7 linked regions of the Kluyveromyces lactis genome follow. The main gene of each other region encodes a partner of the protein of the gene in region 3 in a complex. Links are inferred from orthologs where the notes say so. Each region holds a gene or a part of one and is shown on either strand. Other genes may lie near its edges.

Region 1 (2,235 bases), on a different chromosome or scaffold from region 3:
CACTGGTACCTGCAATTTGACCGGAGACTGATAACCACCGTTAGATAATTTCCTTCTTTTTGACTGCGGGAGTTGAGTTGGTTCTAGTTGAGTTGAAGAAACTATCTGTGACTCTCGCATCTCCAGAGGAGCCTGCACGTTTGTAAATTCCATTGTTTCCTCTGTAATTGCTGGTATCTTAGGTAATTTGAAAGCAGATTCTGAATCTGCATCTAGCGTAGGTTTTTCTGCATCCATCCGTATTTGGTCAGTTATTTCCATAGACTCTTCTTCGTTAAAGCGGCGTTTCTGCGGTTCTGTAAGGTCCATTGTTTCCTCCAAAACTTGGTCTTCGTTACCATTCTCTTCTTCTTCTTCCGCAGCAGTAGAGGTTTCTTGCGGTACCACATTATCGTCTGGTTTAGCGCTATGTTTTGCAAATAACTGTGTTATATCCATTGAAACCTCTTTGTCGAACACAGGTTGGTACCCATCATTTTTCGGTTCGCTTGGAGACTCCAATTTTTGGAATATTGAACCTATCGGACTAGTAAATTCCATTGTTTCTCCAGAATTGTCGTTATCATTTTTGGTATCGGCCATAGAGGCTTCAGCTACTGCCACTTCCAATTTTAAAGCGGATTTCCTTCGAGGTTCCCTTACATTTTGAATCGATTGTGGTATGAATTCGAACTTGTGCAAAGTCACATCTGGTGCAAAGGACACACGGCGATTTCCCTTCGAAATCGCAGCACTGATCCGGGATGTCGTATTGTTTCCGTCCAGTATATCTTCTTTGGTAATTCCCTCAGTAGGAAACTGTATCTGGGACATAGTCAAATTATGACTGGTGTTAGTTGTATCATCATCCTTAAATTTTTGCTTAAGGATACTTCTCGGAAGCAAAGACAATCGTTTTGGATCTGTCATATGAAGCGAGACTATCAACACAGGGTGAAATATGATAATAAATGGAAACTTAACCTAAATATTAGTCCTTAAGTTTATGATGATTCGGTATTTGTGTGTCAATATATTGATCTAAAATTCGATTGTTTACGTTTTCGAAGTTCAATGTTTTCGATTCAGAGCGCTGCTGCACATACAGTGAGAACCGAGAAAAAGGATAAAACAACTGCCTTGAAGAGTCTCTTAGAAAGGATGGGTGTACTTCATCAATTATTTATTTGTTAGTGATTCGAAACGGTCTTCAGATTTGCCCAAAGATGTTCACTAGATGAGGATGTTCAAGATCTCAGGTCATAACCATCACGTGCTATAGTCCGGGTAAATATCTTAATCTCCATTGAAACTATTTTGAAAAATTATCGAAGGCCTTTTCATGGTAGATCATCAGCTATAGAGGGCATGTTCAGTCGGTGTGATGCCTTATTGACGATTGTGGACTCCATTAGTACGTTTCAAGACCGTGGGTGATATCAAAAACTGAAAACTCTTCACAGGTATAACTCTGGAGCCCGATATAATATAAAGAGAGGGAAATACATACATAATGAGCACACTTTTCGGAAGTACGATGTTGAACTCGTTGACAAGACTGACAAGGCCAGCTGTGAAAAGTATCAATATGCTATCTATGCCAATGATGGGTCTTATGAACCCTCCTTTGACCAGAGGTTTTAAGGTAAGAACTTCCATCAAGAAGTTCTGTAACGATTGTTACATGGTTAGACGTAAGGGCAGAGTGTACGTTTACTGTAAGTCCAATAAGAAGCATAAACAACGTCAAGGTTGAATTACAATCGCCCTCCCATTCGTCCCAATCTTTCATGTATATAGATAAGTCATAATGGAGGATGTGTTCTTTTCTTGAATGTGGAAAAATGCAGCCTTCTTTCTATAAATAATTTCCATTCTATACTAATAAACTGGTTTTAAATATATAAAATTCTGAAGTTTAGATGGTTAGATATTATTCATCTCGCCAACAGGAAAGTCCTAATCCTCCTATTAATATAAGTGTTTTCTGGACGTTTGGTAACGTAACTATATCACTGGAACCGGTATCTGCTACTGTGGTATATTTGCTCTCCGTTATTTTCAGTTTGTCATTCGTAATGTCCCTAATTCTTATGACCTGGTCCACTGATGTAGCCAATAATTTTGTGTCATTATCTAACAGATTCACTGATGTTACTGTTGATGAAGCAGCATACGAATCGTGATCTAGTATTTCGGCTTTCATCGTGTAGTTGTCATTGTTCGTAAATTTAGTGATGGCTACAGCATTGTCAT
Region 2 (2,235 bases), about 240 kb from region 3:
GATCCAAATGAGAGTGTCTTTAGCTCATCTTCGCTTTGTGAACCTTCTGCATCACTTGTATCGTTTATTCTTATGATTGATGCTATGTCATCTTCCTCATCTTCGTTTCCTGAATGAAGATCTGGCTTGATATTCTTGAAGTAAAATGACATTTGTATATTACTGGTAGTTTTTGTGGCCGTGGCTGCTTACAGGTTAGTTATCAGTCGCTTCTACATAGAAGTTCTTCTTGATTTTAAGTTTAGCTCATCGCTTCTGCATTGGCACCGTATAAAATTTTCAATATCTGGAAGAAACTTGAAATTCCTATTCAGGCGATGTAAATGAATAATGGACAGGAAGGGAGCTTCAAATAATAAGGTCTGTGATCATACCAACAGCGTTGACTCAATTTAATCCACTGAAGCATTGTAGTGTTTTATATCTTATACTACATTAAATTTCTTTTACTTATTGTTATATATACATGAATTTTGTGATGGGTATCTCGTCACAAGAAATCATTGAGATTCAATACTTTCCTTTAGGGCCAATTTTCTTGAATGACGATCAAAGTAGTTCCCTAGTTCCATGAAGTTCATACTGCTTGGATCAGCTTCCAATTCAGTTTTATCTTTGAAAGTAACTTTCACTGTAGGTTTCTTATTAGAGCCAGAAACCAAAACTTCGTTTTGCAATTGTAATCCACTTGTTCTTTGTGAAGGAGGAATAGCACTTAAGAACAACCTAGCTGTCTTGGCTGTAGATGAAGATAAATGAGACGATTGATGTTTTAATAGTAAAACAACCGTAAATCATATTATGTTAGTAATGGTGTTCGGTAGTTTTAAATGATGTCCAACTAATGATTTCTCTTTCTTTGAAGACATACCTTCCTTTCCTAATGGATTGAATTTCACAACTGCCTTAGTAAAATATTTCGTGATCATGTTGCTCTATAGTTCTCTTGACAACAGCTGACAAACTCCCAAGTATTACTCTGATGAGACGTCCTCATCCAAAAACATACTTCACAGCTGTATTCATCTCTAGCTTTTTGCCTAAAACTGTTTAAATGGTAATAGCGATCTCATCAGAGGCTATACTATTACCCGGATAGTTTTTGAATGTTTTTGGGCGATGTTTGACGAAATGAAAAATATTGAAAGAAACATCCAATTGCAAAATGAACAACTTCAATATTTGCAAATGAAGCAAGACTGCTTTTAGCACAATCGGTTTTTAGGATCCTTGGATTGTTATTTAAGGTCGATATAAGGTACTCGCCTTTAATTGTTTGCAGGTTGAACTAAGTGCGGGTTGTTTTTCATTCGTTTATTCAATTGTAACAGCCGTTGATACGGTGAATCTATTGGCAAGCTTTTTAAAAAGGAACTATTCATATTCGAATTGGACTTTCAGTTTGATTGTAACTATACTTTAACTTGATCTTATTGCCTGAAGGACCAGTATCTTTTTTATAGAAGCGAAATAAACTACAGAGCCATGTTTTTCTTCAAAGATTTGTCGTTGAATATAACGCTTCATCCATCATTCTTTGGACCTCAGATGAAGAGATATTTGATGACAAAGCTACTACAAGAGGTGGAAGGAACATGTACCGGTAAATTCGGATATATCCTATGTGTTTTAGACTGTGAAAATATCGAGATTGAACGTGGACGGATTTTGCCTACGGACGGGTCAGCAGAGTTTACTGTTAAATATAGAGCTGTGGTATGGAAACCTTTCAAGGGAGAAGTTCTTGATGGTATCGTATCTAGTTGTACAAACTTAGGTTTTGAAGTGGAAGTTGGACCTTTGTCTGTCTTCGTTTCCCCTTTTTTGATGCCAGAAGATTTGACTTTCAACAGTGGTTCCAATCCTCCATCATATCAATCATCAGAACAAATTATTACTAAAGGATCTAGAGTAAGATTAAAAATCGTCGGTGCAAGATCGGAAGTCAACTCTATTTACGCCATTGGCAGTATCAAGGAAGATTATTTGGGGGTGATATGATATTTCTTTCCTAGAACCTTTCACATTTTTCACCTAATCGCAACTATGACTATATATAGCTTTGGACATAAATTTCCAAATTCCGGTCATCATTGTTATCTGCTTCATTTGTGAGCATTTTGTATAATATAAAAGAACAAACTAATTTAACAAGCAGCATGGTCAATGTACTTTCTTTTTCTCAGCAATTAATAATAGCGTCACATTAATTTTTTGATTGTACCAAGCACAAAC
Region 3 (2,639 bases):
ACATAAGTGGGTTTGAAAATCTGCAGATACTGATTATAAGTCATTCCAGTTGTGATTTGTGGATGGATTTTGTTCATATGGAAACCAATTAAATCTCTGTTCTTGCCGATGAACTGCTTTCGGCAATGTTTACAGTACACAATATCTTTGTTGGCGTCTTCATTTAATTTGAATAAATGAGTCGTAAACCCCGATTTATCTGAGATAGTCCATTGATCGCCTGGACTTTCCTTCCATTCTATAACATATATTGGACCGCACTCATCCATTTGTTATGAACTAGTAACAGTTATCTAATCATTTAGTCATTACTATAATCATAAATTGTTGAGGTCTGTTACTACAAGTAATGACCTTTACGTATAGATTTCCATTCAAAATAAACATGTAGTAAAAAAAAAAGTCAGATAAAAGTGCGATGAAGTATGATATTATGATCTATGTACAAGTAGCGTGGATACGAATGGCAGTTAAGTGCTAGCCAAAACTATTATTTATTCTTATTGTAATTCGAAAGATTTCTTGAAGTGTTGGTAGACCTTGTCACCAATCAATTCTTGATCTTCATCAGTCAATTTACGTTTTGGCAATGCTGCCAATTCTTTTCTTTGTTCGATGTATCTTTTCTTTGCTTCCGTTAGAGGCATTTTTGGAGCCACCAATCTTGATATTTCCTTCGTTGTCAAGGTACCTCTTCTGTATTTCGACTTAGGGTTACGGATGGTTGACAATGCTGCTTCTGGAACAGGATTTTTTACTACGCTTTCAACCCAGAAAGTTTGTTGACGTGCAATTTCAGAACGCGTAGCCAATGCACCATCTGGCTTGAACTCCGGCTTAGGCCATGGAACAACCATATTGTTCTCACCAACAACAACCCTATATGGCATAATTTTCTTGTAATCTGAATCATAATACGAACCCTTGAATTCGATGTCACGAACAGCAACAGTCTTAGCCACACCTGGAGTCTCTGGATCATCGAGATCAGCGACTAGTTTGATGTCCGCTTGGCTCACGGGGACAGGGAAACTCACCATATGACTGTTCTGCCCCTGTTGCCAAAATTGCTTGGGCACAGGAACAGTGTTGGTGGGTCCATTCTCATCCAAAATATACCCGTTTGTATGCACGTCGTGCTGCGTAATGGCACAAACATTGCCCTTAAACTTTCCATTTACTATCACCACTCTATCACCTGGCATATATTTCCATTGCTTTACACTCTTATACTTCTCGGATTCTTCGACACGAGGCAACGATGGTTTCAAGAACTCTGGCATCGTCAAACCTTCATACTTGGCAAATTGTTTCGCAATATTAGAGTTCTTCGCTTGAACTTGCTCCAAAAAACGGGCACCAGCCTTCGATAAATGTTTATATGAAGACATACCCGCTGATCTATTTTATTCTAGTATCGAATACCACCGTCCTTTTCACAGAACATAAACCATTTGTGGTTCATTCCATAGTACCATATTGATACATATGTCTTTCTTGATTCCGTTCCTTCAAGTTTTTCATCGACAAATTTTTTTGGAAGGGAAAAATGAAAGCACGTGATCCGAATTAGACTATCAGATTCTTCGCATTTGATTTAGTATTATAGCTTGATGTTACATAGGATATACAAGGTGAGATATACATGCGGCACAGGGCTCCAGCTGTGGCAATGGAAATGGTCGTGAAGCACTAATTGTCAGTGCATATAGCAATGAACTCTTCTTCATTGATCTCTCCGTCATCGTCAAGATCAAACTCATCAATCATGGCACGTAGTTCTTCGTCTGTAAGGTTTTCACCTAGTTCGTGAGCTACACGTTTCAAATTCTTCAATGAGATCTTGCCCGTGTTATCATCGTCGAATAGCCTGAAGGCACGTTTAATTTCATCCAATGGGTCTCTTTGCAATATTTTTTCTCCTACTACCAGGTAAAAATCCTCGTATTGTATTAACCGGCGTCCGTCTGCATCATACCTATCGATAAGTTCTAATATGTCTCCTTTACTGAGTTCAAAACCCAATGCCCTTAGAGCGACTTTGAATTCATGATAGTCGAGATATCCATCATTGTTCATATCAAAGAGTGAGAACGCCTCGTATATTTCTTGTTTCTGTTCTTCTAATAATTCCTTTTGTAAAGTGGATTTATCCACGGATTTCGCTACTCGTCCACTGGGCCTTCTGTTATTCATGTTTCTATGATCCGAATTGGGTTAGATTTCTTGCCGTTGTGAGTCTTGGCTGTAAGTCAATCGAACCTCTTAATTTACCTCTTTTGCTGCACGCGTAAACTTCGTGAAACTTCTTTAAAATATGTTTAAAGATTTCATGTTTATGATTATTTTGACAATATTGAGTTTAAGGAACATAAACACATATCCTGAAAGAAATGAAGGCAATAACTGATGAATACCTTACAGTACTGCCAGATCAACTACTCTTTAGTTCTAAAATGAAACAATGGATCTGGAATTAGGAGATAGGGTAGTGCTACGCAGCCTGGCAGGAACTGTACGGTTTATAGGCGAGACGCAGTTTGCAGCGGGGATTTGGATCGGTGTTGAGTTAGATGAACCCTTAGGGAAGAACGATGGTAGCGTCAAGGGAGTCAGGTACTTTGAACTCAGTGAGGGTA
Region 4 (2,549 bases), on a different chromosome or scaffold from region 3:
GAAGAATGGCAAGCGTTTTCTCTATTAACGAAACTCATGAAAGTATACGGATTAAGGGATTTATTCTTGCCGGGAATGCCTGGCCTGATGTTGAAATTGTACCAATTTGATACACTTTTGGAGGAAAATGATCCTCAATTGTATAACCATTTGATCAGGCAGGGAATAAGATCTACAATGTTTGCAACTCAATGGTTCCTGACGATGTTCGCATACAAATTTCCCCTTGAATTCGTTCTCAGAATCATGGATATTGTCATACTTGAAGGTATCGAATCGATGCTAAAATTCAGTTTAACGTTGATGTTAAAGAACAGTCGTAATTTGATCATTCTCAGTTTCGATTCTCTCTTAGACTTCTTGAAGGAGGACCTTTTCCAACACTATGCTTCTAAGGAGAACCCAGAAGAGTACGATATTGATAGATTCATCTCTGATTCGTTGGAAATCAAATTAACTCCATTGCAATTGGAGCGTTACGTGAAAGAGTACGATGAGATTCACAAGTTGGAAACGGAAAAGGAACAACAATATGAGGAACAAAGAATTAAAAACAGACAGCTTCAAAAAGAGTTGAAGAAATTAGAAAATGACTATTCGCTATTAAACAGAGAGCATATCACTATTGCCAATGAACTAATTGAAAACAGACTTCGGATGGAAACTCTTCAGGACGAAAATAAGGATTTATTACTAGAGATAGAAGATTTGAAGAAACAACTGGAACGTGAACTTTATAAACAAACGTTACCTAATCCAGATGCTGAAATTCCCACAGATTTGAAAGCAGATTTGAATAGAACAATGGAAAGAAATCTGGAAGTTATGGACGAAAATCAAGAGCTCAGAACACGCCTTGACGAATTAGAAAAAGAGAACTATGAATTACGCACAGGTAAGACTTGGACCAAAGATGCCACCAATCCAAAGGGAAATCGTCTCGGGAATTGGGCTTTCAAATCACCATGGAAGAAATGAGAAAAATTGCAACAGGGACCTCATTCACAATATCCATCCAGCCGTACATATATACATACCCTTCATACATACATGATACCGCCAACCATTACGCAGAGGTGTATTCTAATCATAAATTTCCTTATGCTTTACCATTCTCGCTGTATACGGTTTTGATCTTTCCAAAGCTTATTCAAAATTTTAGAAAATAACGACTTGATACATGCACTAAGGTGAAGAGAAGGAGCTTGAACCTAGTATGAAGCTAGTTGGTCTAAGAGTCTCTGTACGTTCACCAATAAGCACGGAGATCGTTCATCTGGAATGAAGTTTTTTCCAAGTTCCCAAAGAGGGTTTTCCACTCTTAGCCACCTCCTCAGAGAATGGAGATTAGTTGAAAGCAGACAGATCCCAACTCCAAAGACGTATCAAGTCGGCGACAGCAAGCCATTATATATCCCAAAGGAGAAGAAGGAATTCCCTGATTATCCATACGGAGAATCTCCAATTTACAAACAGAGTAACAAAGGTTTATACGGTGCGTCTTTCATCCAATTCGGTAATAACATCGCTGAATCGAAGACAAAAACCAGGAGATCATGGAGTCCAAACGTTATTAGAAAAGGACTATGGAGTGAGACTTTGAACAGAAAGATTAGTATTAAGATGACAGCAAAAGTTTTAAGAACAATTACCAAGGAAGGTGGTATTGACAACTATTTGACTAAGGAAAAGGCCGCCAGAATTAAGGAATTGGGACCTACTGGTTGGAAACTCCGTTACAGACTACTGAACTCTAAGGAAAAAGCTGCCAATCCTGTACATAAGGACGCTGAGACTGTCACAGATGCCAATGGCAACGAAGTCACCGTATTGTACAAAGTTGTTGTCGATGGAGAACCATTGAGAATTACTGCTGGTAAGCGTAAACTATTGCATACCCTTTTCCCATTGGAAAAGATGGAACACAAAGCGGATGGATTAGATCTATCGTTTAAGAAATTCATGGACCAATTTGCTACCCGTGACGTGGCAGACATCGTATCGAGATTAAAGGCCTTGAATTTCGATTTGAGTACGATTACTGTATGAGAACTGAATAGATTTTGTTCCAATTTTATATAAAAGCTTGTAAACAATGAGAAAATAGATTCTACCATGAGCTGGGAGGATGCTTGAAGACTATGCGTTAGTTGTCCGACTGACCGATGCAAGAGTTAATCACCCACTGTTCAATTGAATTGAACGGTGTGCATGTGACTGTTGCACCCAGACATTATTGACTGTTGCACCCATACATACTCAATTTCTGCTGAAAATGAGAATGTTTCCATACTAGGAAATTATTTTCTCATGTCCACCAAATCCGCTGAGCTGACGGTAGGATGCACAGACACATCCCATCCGTCTTCGTTGCTTGCTTCGAGCTGGGCAGGGCCTGTCCCGTTTCCTCCCTAAGCTGGACTGCCCGGTCTGGGCCTGGACATTCCACCAAACTGGCCGCTGGACTGCCCACTTAGACCCCAGGCTAGGCATCTCATGGTTTCCATTCACTTCCCATACCCTCCCAAACACTCCTCCGGGTAATCATC
Region 5 (2,073 bases), on a different chromosome or scaffold from region 3:
TTTCGGGTTCGCTAAATATGTTCCTGATGTCACTTACACTCTCTGTGGAACACCGGACTATATCGCACCTGAAGTGGTAAGCACAAAACCTTACAACAAATCTGTGGATTGGTGGAGTTTTGGTGTTTTAATCTACGAAATGTTAGCAGGATATACACCTTTCTACGATTCAAACACAATTAAGACCTATGAGAATATTCTAAATGCTCCAGTAAGATTCCCACCATTTTTCCATTCTGATGCTCAAGATCTAATATCGAAACTCATCACAAGAGACTTAAGTCAACGGCTAGGTAATTTACAAAATGGAAGTGAGGACGTAAAGAATCATCCGTGGTTCAGCGAGGTTGTGTGGGAAAAACTACTCTGCAAAAACATTGAAACTCCATATGAACCTCCTATTCAGGCCGGACAAGGCGATACCTCTCAATACGATAGGTATCCAGAGGAAGAGGTTAATTATGGCATTCAAGGCGAAGATCCGTACCATAGTATTTTCACCAACTTTTAGCAGGCATACTTGCTCATGAAATTCAGATATCAACATGCCTCTTATCTTGCATCTACACAATATGTAAACTTTAACACGCCTTTCCCCCCGTTAGTCCCTTTTCTTTTTTTTTTTGTTTTGATATATCGGCTCATTGCCTTCAGAAACGCTGCCGTTATTTGATACATTCCTTTGAATGACCATCGTACAATACTAGATGGATTGATGTACGCACTTCCAATTCAAAATTCGTTTCATTCGTTTTGCTGTACTCTCCAATGGATGCTCGATGCAATAATCTTATTTTTGGAGTATTTATCTATCTATAATCAATGGCATTTACATATTTTGAATGCATGTATAAGACTTCATCACAAGTCCTTCCCTCACGATCCATGCTACATAAATTGTAAACTGGGGTAAGTCATGGCACATTCATTTATGTTTTGGACGTAACTTGCTTCTGTCGAATGATTTCACGTGACCAATGAATTTTTTTCCAAACTATTGAAAATTCAAAAAGTTCAGTGGACATGTCCAGTTGAAATGAGAATGATTTTACGAAATAGATGATTGAAGTGATATTGCTGAAAGTGAAGGGTCCTGGTTGCTCTACTTTATCGTCAAGGTTTATTTTACCGATTGGATACTTATACTCATTGTCACTCTAGAGAAGATCATTAATAAATAATGTCAGGAATCGTTAAACAACAAAAATTTTTGAACAAGATCAGTGCGACTACCGTGAAACCTCAAATTATATTAGATGTATCGAAGTACAGTGCATTGAATGTGAAGTTCCAGTATCAGAATTTCAATGGCCATATGGGTGCCCGTAAGTTCTGGCACGAGTTTTTGCCTTCTCTGCAGTTTTACAACCCTGCGTTGCCAATCAATGTGACCAGAATTAGAAACGATGATAAAAAAGTCGATGTACCATGCATACTAGAAGCTATTGGATCCGATGGGAAGGTTGTAGCTGAAGTTTCAATGAAGCACAAACACTCATCTGAAATTATGGATGAAGTGCTACAGAAATTGGAACACAAAAGAGTACCCCAGGAAGAAATAATAAAGGTATGAGCTCCGACCTTTGACAAAGAAAAACAAACAAACTGGAATACCTAAATATACTACTTTCAAAGTTAGGTCCTGTACATATGTATATAATAAGATACTTTTCATCCGATTTGATGTCTTATTCAAATGACATATCCTTTTGAGATGAGTTGACTCTCTGCCCAAGGATCGTCAAGACATTCAAGAACACGCGAGAAGAAGATTTAAAACGCCAGTATATGGTTACCAGGTGGTTATTTAACTTGAATTTCAGAACGCCTCTTACATCTAATTGTCATTAAGACATCTTACATTAACAGCGACTTCTTCATCTGCGGAAATGGTTTTCTGCGTATTGTTCAGTTGAAATTTTTCAATCTCGAAAATGATAAATCGCTTCAGATCTCATCATCTCATCTCATCTCATCGGTTGACCACAGAAATTATCAACACCCCAAAGAGGCATATAGTAGGGGCATTATTCACAGGTGAAGACTCTCAACCCAACAACACGAATGTCTAAT
Region 6 (2,227 bases), on a different chromosome or scaffold from region 3:
TCTCTCAATTTGAGACAATCTGTAGAAACATTATCTGGATTAGTTCTAAAGTTGGAAAGCTATATTGATAAATTAACCGAGGAAAATACCCGCAAAGATGAAATTCTTGCTGCTTTGGAAGCAAAAGTAGATCGTCTTTTGGAGCAAGGGAAATAATATCAAATATGAAATACATCCTTCCCTAATTCTTCTCGTTTTTGTTCTGTTAAATGTTCTTTCTTCCAGGCAAAAGTATTATGCTTTGGCATACTGCGATGTAATATCTTTTCTATCTCTGTATGTGATTTGTATGTGATTTGTATGTGATAATTAACATATCTAAATAACAATCTATATGTACATAGTAAAGTGGAAGAGTTTAGTACAGTGAAAAACGACAGACATTGTATGCGTACTAAGGAGAACCATTTAGATCGAATAATAATATATACAGGGATTTTACATCACATGCTGCCGTTAACTTCTCAAAAATTAAGAAGTCACATAAAAATTCATCCACACTATTTCTTCTGGTGTTGCAGCTCTAGTTGCTGATCAGCAAATGCGGTGATATTACTCTTGTATGGATGTTCACTTCCATCGAAAATTTTTAATCTAGCAAGTCTGATCTTACGAAGTTTATTCTTGGGAAGCATTCCGGACACAGCCTTCTTCAAAACTTCACTGTAACCCTTGTTACTGATCATGTCTTCCATTGTAGTCAACTTTAATGAACCTGGTCTAGAAGTATGCGACCAGTACGTCTTTTGGGTCATCTTGTTCCCCGTCACACGCAAAGCTTGGCAGTTCGTTACCACAACATAATCACCGCAATCAGCAGATGGATGATACACTGGCTTGTGCTTCCCCATTAACGCTAGAGCAACCTGAGATGCCACCCTACCAAGCGTTCTCTTGTCCTTGGATATATCAACATGATGCCACATCCTGGCAAATGCCAAACCAGTATGTCCTACCTTTTGAGACATACTTCTAATATATTGTTATTTTGCCTCCTTTCTGACAGGTTAAAACGTGGCACCTAAAAAGTTAAATTTTAAGTGATGCTATTCAACTGTAATCACTTAGGTAAAGGGATAGTTCGGGACAGTCAGTTGTCTTTTAACTCATCATATGTTTAGCTTGACAATCGATTTGATTAATTGATGTTTAATTTCAGCTTGGAGCCAAATTTTTTTCAATCGCTCATATTACTGTTACCCGGATGTTAAACACAATCTATATACAAGCTACTAACAAATACCTACAACTCATCCTGAACTATGTCGTCCTTCGTAAGTTTAGTCTTCTGTTTGTTCTTTTTAGTCTTGGACTTCTTTGACTTTGATTTATTCAAAATAGATTTGAGGTATTCTTGTCTCTTACTGAGTGGACCTTCCCTTGGTTTTGACTCGAATTTCGAAAGGAACGTTGCAATGTCATTTTTATCTGTAGTTTTTAATATGTCTAGTTCGTCATAAGTATCTGTTTCTCTATCTATCACTACGATTCTGGGCGATTGTAATTCAGTTTCACTTTTTTCTAACGATTGGAGGTATTTAACAGTATTTGGCCAATTCTTTGTATCGTTCTCAAAACTCAATTGTGACACGCCTTGCAATTTCTCGTCCCAGATCGAATAGAAATCGTAGATCCCAAGCCAATCGAGGGCTACAGATTTATATAAAGTTGGAATCTTCTCCTTCTTTGAGATAAGCACTACAGCGTACCTGGTTCTTGAAGATTTTAATAGTTCTTCGAACTTACTGTAACGGTTCAACCGCTTCACGTAGTTTTTCACTCTAGATAAAGCGAAATCGACAATGGGCTTCAATTTCCTTTCTCCCTTGTACACTTCTGTGGCATGCTGTGACGCAGCACCATTGGAATTTTTCTTTGGGTTATCCAAATTGATCTTTGGAGGCCTGAATACCATTAACGTTGGGAACCCCGATACTCTGTTCTGTGCACATAATTGTTTATTCACACTTTCATCACAGTTCACTCCAGCAACTTGTACCATTCCAGAGAGGATTTTACCGGCAGATTTCATGGAACCTTTCAATTCCTGACAGTAACCACACCACGGAGCATAAAACATGACCAAAGTGGTGTAATTGGTCCTATGAATGACTTTATCGAAGTTAGAAGGTGTCAATTCCATGATATTCTCATCACGGTCGTAGAAATTGGCTCCGAACGCCAGTTCGACCAACAAAAACAATGCATATAGAAGACGTGTGTACAT
Region 7 (2,397 bases), on a different chromosome or scaffold from region 3:
GTCAAGATATTAAAGGAATGATGGAAGTAGGTGCCAGTGGTGCTCAATTAGGAACCGCATTTGTCCAATGCAAAGAATCGGCTGCGTCAGAAAATTACAGGAAATTATTATTTGACAAAACAAGAAATGACATAACTCAAATCACAAGCAGCATATCAGGTCGTCCGGCGCGAGCTTTGTTGAATAGTTGGCACACTGAGGTGGATATTCCAACTAGAGTGATACATCCAGGGTATCCATTTACATACGATGTGGGGAAGCAGTTAAATGCCGTGTCTATTCCAGATCATGATGGTACCGCAAATTCTTTCGCAGCACATTGGGCAGGATCCAATGTCAGCCGTATCCGTGATATGGATGCGAGACAACTAATGCAAACCCTTGTCGATGAGATGAGATAATTTTCCAGACCGTTACAGCACAGAGCTATGCTGTTTCAAATGTACGAAAATCCCGAATAGCGACAAATTCCACAATGGAACGATGAAGTTACACTAATTGTGCATTATTCTCGTCAGTTACATGACTGCATTTATTTTTTCAATGACGAAGTAGAGTTGCATCTCTTCACAATTTCACTACGACCCTATAAATCCCGGACTACCTTTTGTAAGGAAGAAATCTAATCTTTCGACATCCCTCCTAGCTTGGACAGGAGACGTCTATAACGGATTACATTATTTAAGCATGATGTTGACGATAGCAATGACAGTTTGCAGTTCGAAAAGAAGAGCAGAACTCACCAATTCCTCTATCATTTTAATTTGAACAGTCACGTGAATCGACCTTTGCCTCATTCGGGATTATATATACTATAAAGAAGATATATAAAAAATTACCAATATACATTTTTTGCTGCCATGGAAAATATACGAGAAAGTCTTCATTCCCTTCTCCATTGTTGATACCGATTTTGGCACTCATACCACTTCCAATTACCATTCATACCTTCTTACATTGAATCTAACTATGCCTCTCGTCGGTTTATTGTACCAAGTATTGAAATTCGACGATACTGAAAAATCTGAAAAAAAATGAAAAATCTGAAAAATCACTGAAGATTGATATATTGTAGTGAAGAGATATATTGGTGGGAATGAATTCGCTTAAAGTGATTCGAATCCACAGCTCAGGTCATCACCAACCACTCAAAATAGCCATGTTGTCACTTTTGTTAAGAAGCCCAGTGGTGGTATCCCGTGTCTCATATGCTTCTCCGTTTTTGGTTAGGAGGTTTGCCTCTACGCAAATTGAGAGAACTGTCTCGGATGCAGTTAGAAGAACAGTAAAGCCTTTGGACTCTCGTAAGACTTTCCTAATCGACTCTTACAAAAACCTGATGGAAACCAGTCCGGTAATGTTGTTTTGTCATCATAACAATTTGATGAAAGGGGAGAATGCACACTTCAGAGAAGAAATTAATAAGGTAGGAGGCAAGTTAACAATCTTGAGAAACAATTTGTTCCAAGTATACTTGAGAAACTCACGCAAAAATGACCCAGCTGCTCCAGCGAAACGTTCAGAACAAGACTGGAAGCATCCTTTACTGCCCTTGTTCAAAGGTCCTACGGCAGCAATTTCGTTCCCAGAGACTGATCCGGCAAAGGTAAAAAAAGTCATGAAATTATTGGAAAAAGCCCAAGACAAGTTATTCGTTATTGGCGCCAAAGTTGAAAATGATGCGTACGATTTGAGACAATTGGATTCTTTCAAGGATCTACCAACAAAAAGTCAATTACAATCAGAATTACTGGGACTATTGCACGTCTTGAGCGGTGCTGGTTTAGTTCAAACTTTAGAAGCTGGCTCAAACATGTTGTACCTAACTCTAAAGTCTCACGAAGATAATATTAACCCAGATAAGCAGAAAAACGAGAATGACAGCGAAGGAAATTAAAGTCTTTTGCCCCATCATGAAATGTAATATAAATCATTTTTACGTATCGATGTACTTAAATAAACCCATCACATATTAATATAAACTCCTGTACATATTCTTTGCACGTGACTTTTTTTGATCTCATTTGTATATTGTAAAGAAATAAAAAGTTTTTGAACATGCACTGAATCAATTGAGTCGAGAAAACCTAGGCGATGAGGTTACAATTTTTCAAAGCAGTTACTTCCACCAACCGTTAATGTGTGTTGAATAAACATAATTGAATTCTAACAGTGACTCAAATTTCCTATAACTGCCTTTGTTAGAAAATATGAGTTTTAGTACTAGACGCCAGGCGTATCGTGCTGAGAAGCAAGATCATCGCAAAGAATTGAAACATGTCAAGATCGATGAATCTGTGATTGAAAAGGTGGATAAACTATCTTTACCTAAAAAAAAGTTTTACAGACAAAGAGCACATTCGAATCCATTCAGTGATCATCAGTTGGAGTATCCAA

The links.
Region 1: MRPL40 (region 3) and RTC6 share a complex: the UniProt entries of both Saccharomyces cerevisiae proteins name them as parts of the mitochondrial large ribosomal subunit. The link is inferred for Kluyveromyces lactis from reciprocal best matches to the Saccharomyces cerevisiae genes MRPL40 and RTC6.
Region 2: MRPL40 (region 3) and MRPL44 share a complex: the UniProt entries of both Saccharomyces cerevisiae proteins name them as parts of the mitochondrial large ribosomal subunit. The link is inferred for Kluyveromyces lactis from reciprocal best matches to the Saccharomyces cerevisiae genes MRPL40 and MRPL44.
Region 4: MRPL40 (region 3) and MRPL24 share a complex: the UniProt entries of both Saccharomyces cerevisiae proteins name them as parts of the mitochondrial large ribosomal subunit. The link is inferred for Kluyveromyces lactis from reciprocal best matches to the Saccharomyces cerevisiae genes MRPL40 and MRPL24.
Region 5: MRPL40 (region 3) and MRP49 share a complex: the UniProt entries of both Saccharomyces cerevisiae proteins name them as parts of the mitochondrial large ribosomal subunit. The link is inferred for Kluyveromyces lactis from reciprocal best matches to the Saccharomyces cerevisiae genes MRPL40 and MRP49.
Region 6: MRPL40 (region 3) and MRPL23 share a complex: the UniProt entries of both Saccharomyces cerevisiae proteins name them as parts of the mitochondrial large ribosomal subunit. The link is inferred for Kluyveromyces lactis from reciprocal best matches to the Saccharomyces cerevisiae genes MRPL40 and MRPL23.
Region 7: MRPL40 (region 3) and MRPL11 share a complex: the UniProt entries of both Saccharomyces cerevisiae proteins name them as parts of the mitochondrial large ribosomal subunit. The link is inferred for Kluyveromyces lactis from reciprocal best matches to the Saccharomyces cerevisiae genes MRPL40 and MRPL11.

The regions. Positions count from the first base shown.
Region 1 is NC_006041.1:1,683,425-1,685,659, reverse strand, and holds RTC6 (mitochondrial 54S ribosomal protein bL36m), read left to right. Parts: upstream 1-1,492; coding exon 1,493-1,735; downstream 1,736-2,235. Other genes in the region: kinetochore-microtubule binding complex subunit SPC105, read right to left, coding at 1-909; tRNA (34-2'-O)-methyltransferase regulator RTT10, read right to left, coding at 1,913-2,235. UniProt on the Saccharomyces cerevisiae protein: Component of the mitochondrial ribosome (mitoribosome), a dedicated translation machinery responsible for the synthesis of mitochondrial genome-encoded proteins, including at least some of the essential transmembrane subunits of the mitochondrial respiratory chain.
Region 2 is NC_006039.1:594,946-597,180, reverse strand, and holds MRPL44 (mitochondrial 54S ribosomal protein mL53), read right to left. Parts: upstream 930-2,235; coding exon 872-929; intron 740-871; coding exon 501-739; downstream 1-500. Other genes in the region: rRNA-processing protein RRP36, read right to left, coding at 1-152; DNA-directed RNA polymerase II subunit RPB7, read left to right, coding at 1,486-2,001. UniProt on the Saccharomyces cerevisiae protein: Component of the mitochondrial ribosome (mitoribosome), a dedicated translation machinery responsible for the synthesis of mitochondrial genome-encoded proteins, including at least some of the essential transmembrane subunits of the mitochondrial respiratory chain.
Region 3 is NC_006039.1:835,165-837,803, forward strand, and holds MRPL40 (mitochondrial 54S ribosomal protein uL24m), read right to left. Parts: upstream 1,392-2,639; coding exon 501-1,391; downstream 1-500. Other genes in the region: HNT3 (DNA 5'-adenosine monophosphate hydrolase), read right to left, coding at 1-269; CDC31 (centrin), read right to left, coding at 1,693-2,196; NIP100 (Nip100p), read left to right, coding at 2,465-2,639. UniProt on the Saccharomyces cerevisiae protein: Component of the mitochondrial ribosome (mitoribosome), a dedicated translation machinery responsible for the synthesis of mitochondrial genome-encoded proteins, including at least some of the essential transmembrane subunits of the mitochondrial respiratory chain.
Region 4 is NC_006040.1:1,064,461-1,067,009, reverse strand, and holds MRPL24 (mitochondrial 54S ribosomal protein bL28m), read left to right. Parts: upstream 1-1,281; coding exon 1,282-2,049; downstream 2,050-2,549. Other genes in the region: KLLA0_D12584g (uncharacterized protein), read left to right, coding at 1-978. UniProt on the Saccharomyces cerevisiae protein: Component of the mitochondrial ribosome (mitoribosome), a dedicated translation machinery responsible for the synthesis of mitochondrial genome-encoded proteins, including at least some of the essential transmembrane subunits of the mitochondrial respiratory chain.
Region 5 is NC_006038.1:623,044-625,116, reverse strand, and holds MRP49 (mitochondrial 54S ribosomal protein mL61), read left to right. Parts: upstream 1-1,180; coding exon 1,181-1,573; downstream 1,574-2,073. Other genes in the region: KLLA0_B07205g (cAMP-dependent protein kinase), read left to right, coding at 1-511; RKM3 (protein-lysine N-methyltransferase), read left to right, coding at 2,065-2,073. UniProt on the Saccharomyces cerevisiae protein: Component of the mitochondrial ribosome (mitoribosome), a dedicated translation machinery responsible for the synthesis of mitochondrial genome-encoded proteins, including at least some of the essential transmembrane subunits of the mitochondrial respiratory chain.
Region 6 is NC_006040.1:210,632-212,858, reverse strand, and holds MRPL23 (mitochondrial 54S ribosomal protein uL13m), read right to left. Parts: upstream 969-2,227; coding exon 501-968; downstream 1-500. Other genes in the region: CRN1 (coronin), read left to right, coding at 1-156; protein disulfide isomerase MPD1, read right to left, coding at 1,244-2,227. UniProt on the Saccharomyces cerevisiae protein: Component of the mitochondrial ribosome (mitoribosome), a dedicated translation machinery responsible for the synthesis of mitochondrial genome-encoded proteins, including at least some of the essential transmembrane subunits of the mitochondrial respiratory chain.
Region 7 is NC_006037.1:292,829-295,225, reverse strand, and holds MRPL11 (mitochondrial 54S ribosomal protein uL10m), read left to right. Parts: upstream 1-1,159; coding exon 1,160-1,897; downstream 1,898-2,397. Other genes in the region: KLLA0_A03289g (putative nitronate monooxygenase), read left to right, coding at 1-401; TRM8 (tRNA (guanine46-N7)-methyltransferase), read left to right, coding at 2,211-2,397. UniProt on the Saccharomyces cerevisiae protein: Component of the mitochondrial ribosome (mitoribosome), a dedicated translation machinery responsible for the synthesis of mitochondrial genome-encoded proteins, including at least some of the essential transmembrane subunits of the mitochondrial respiratory chain.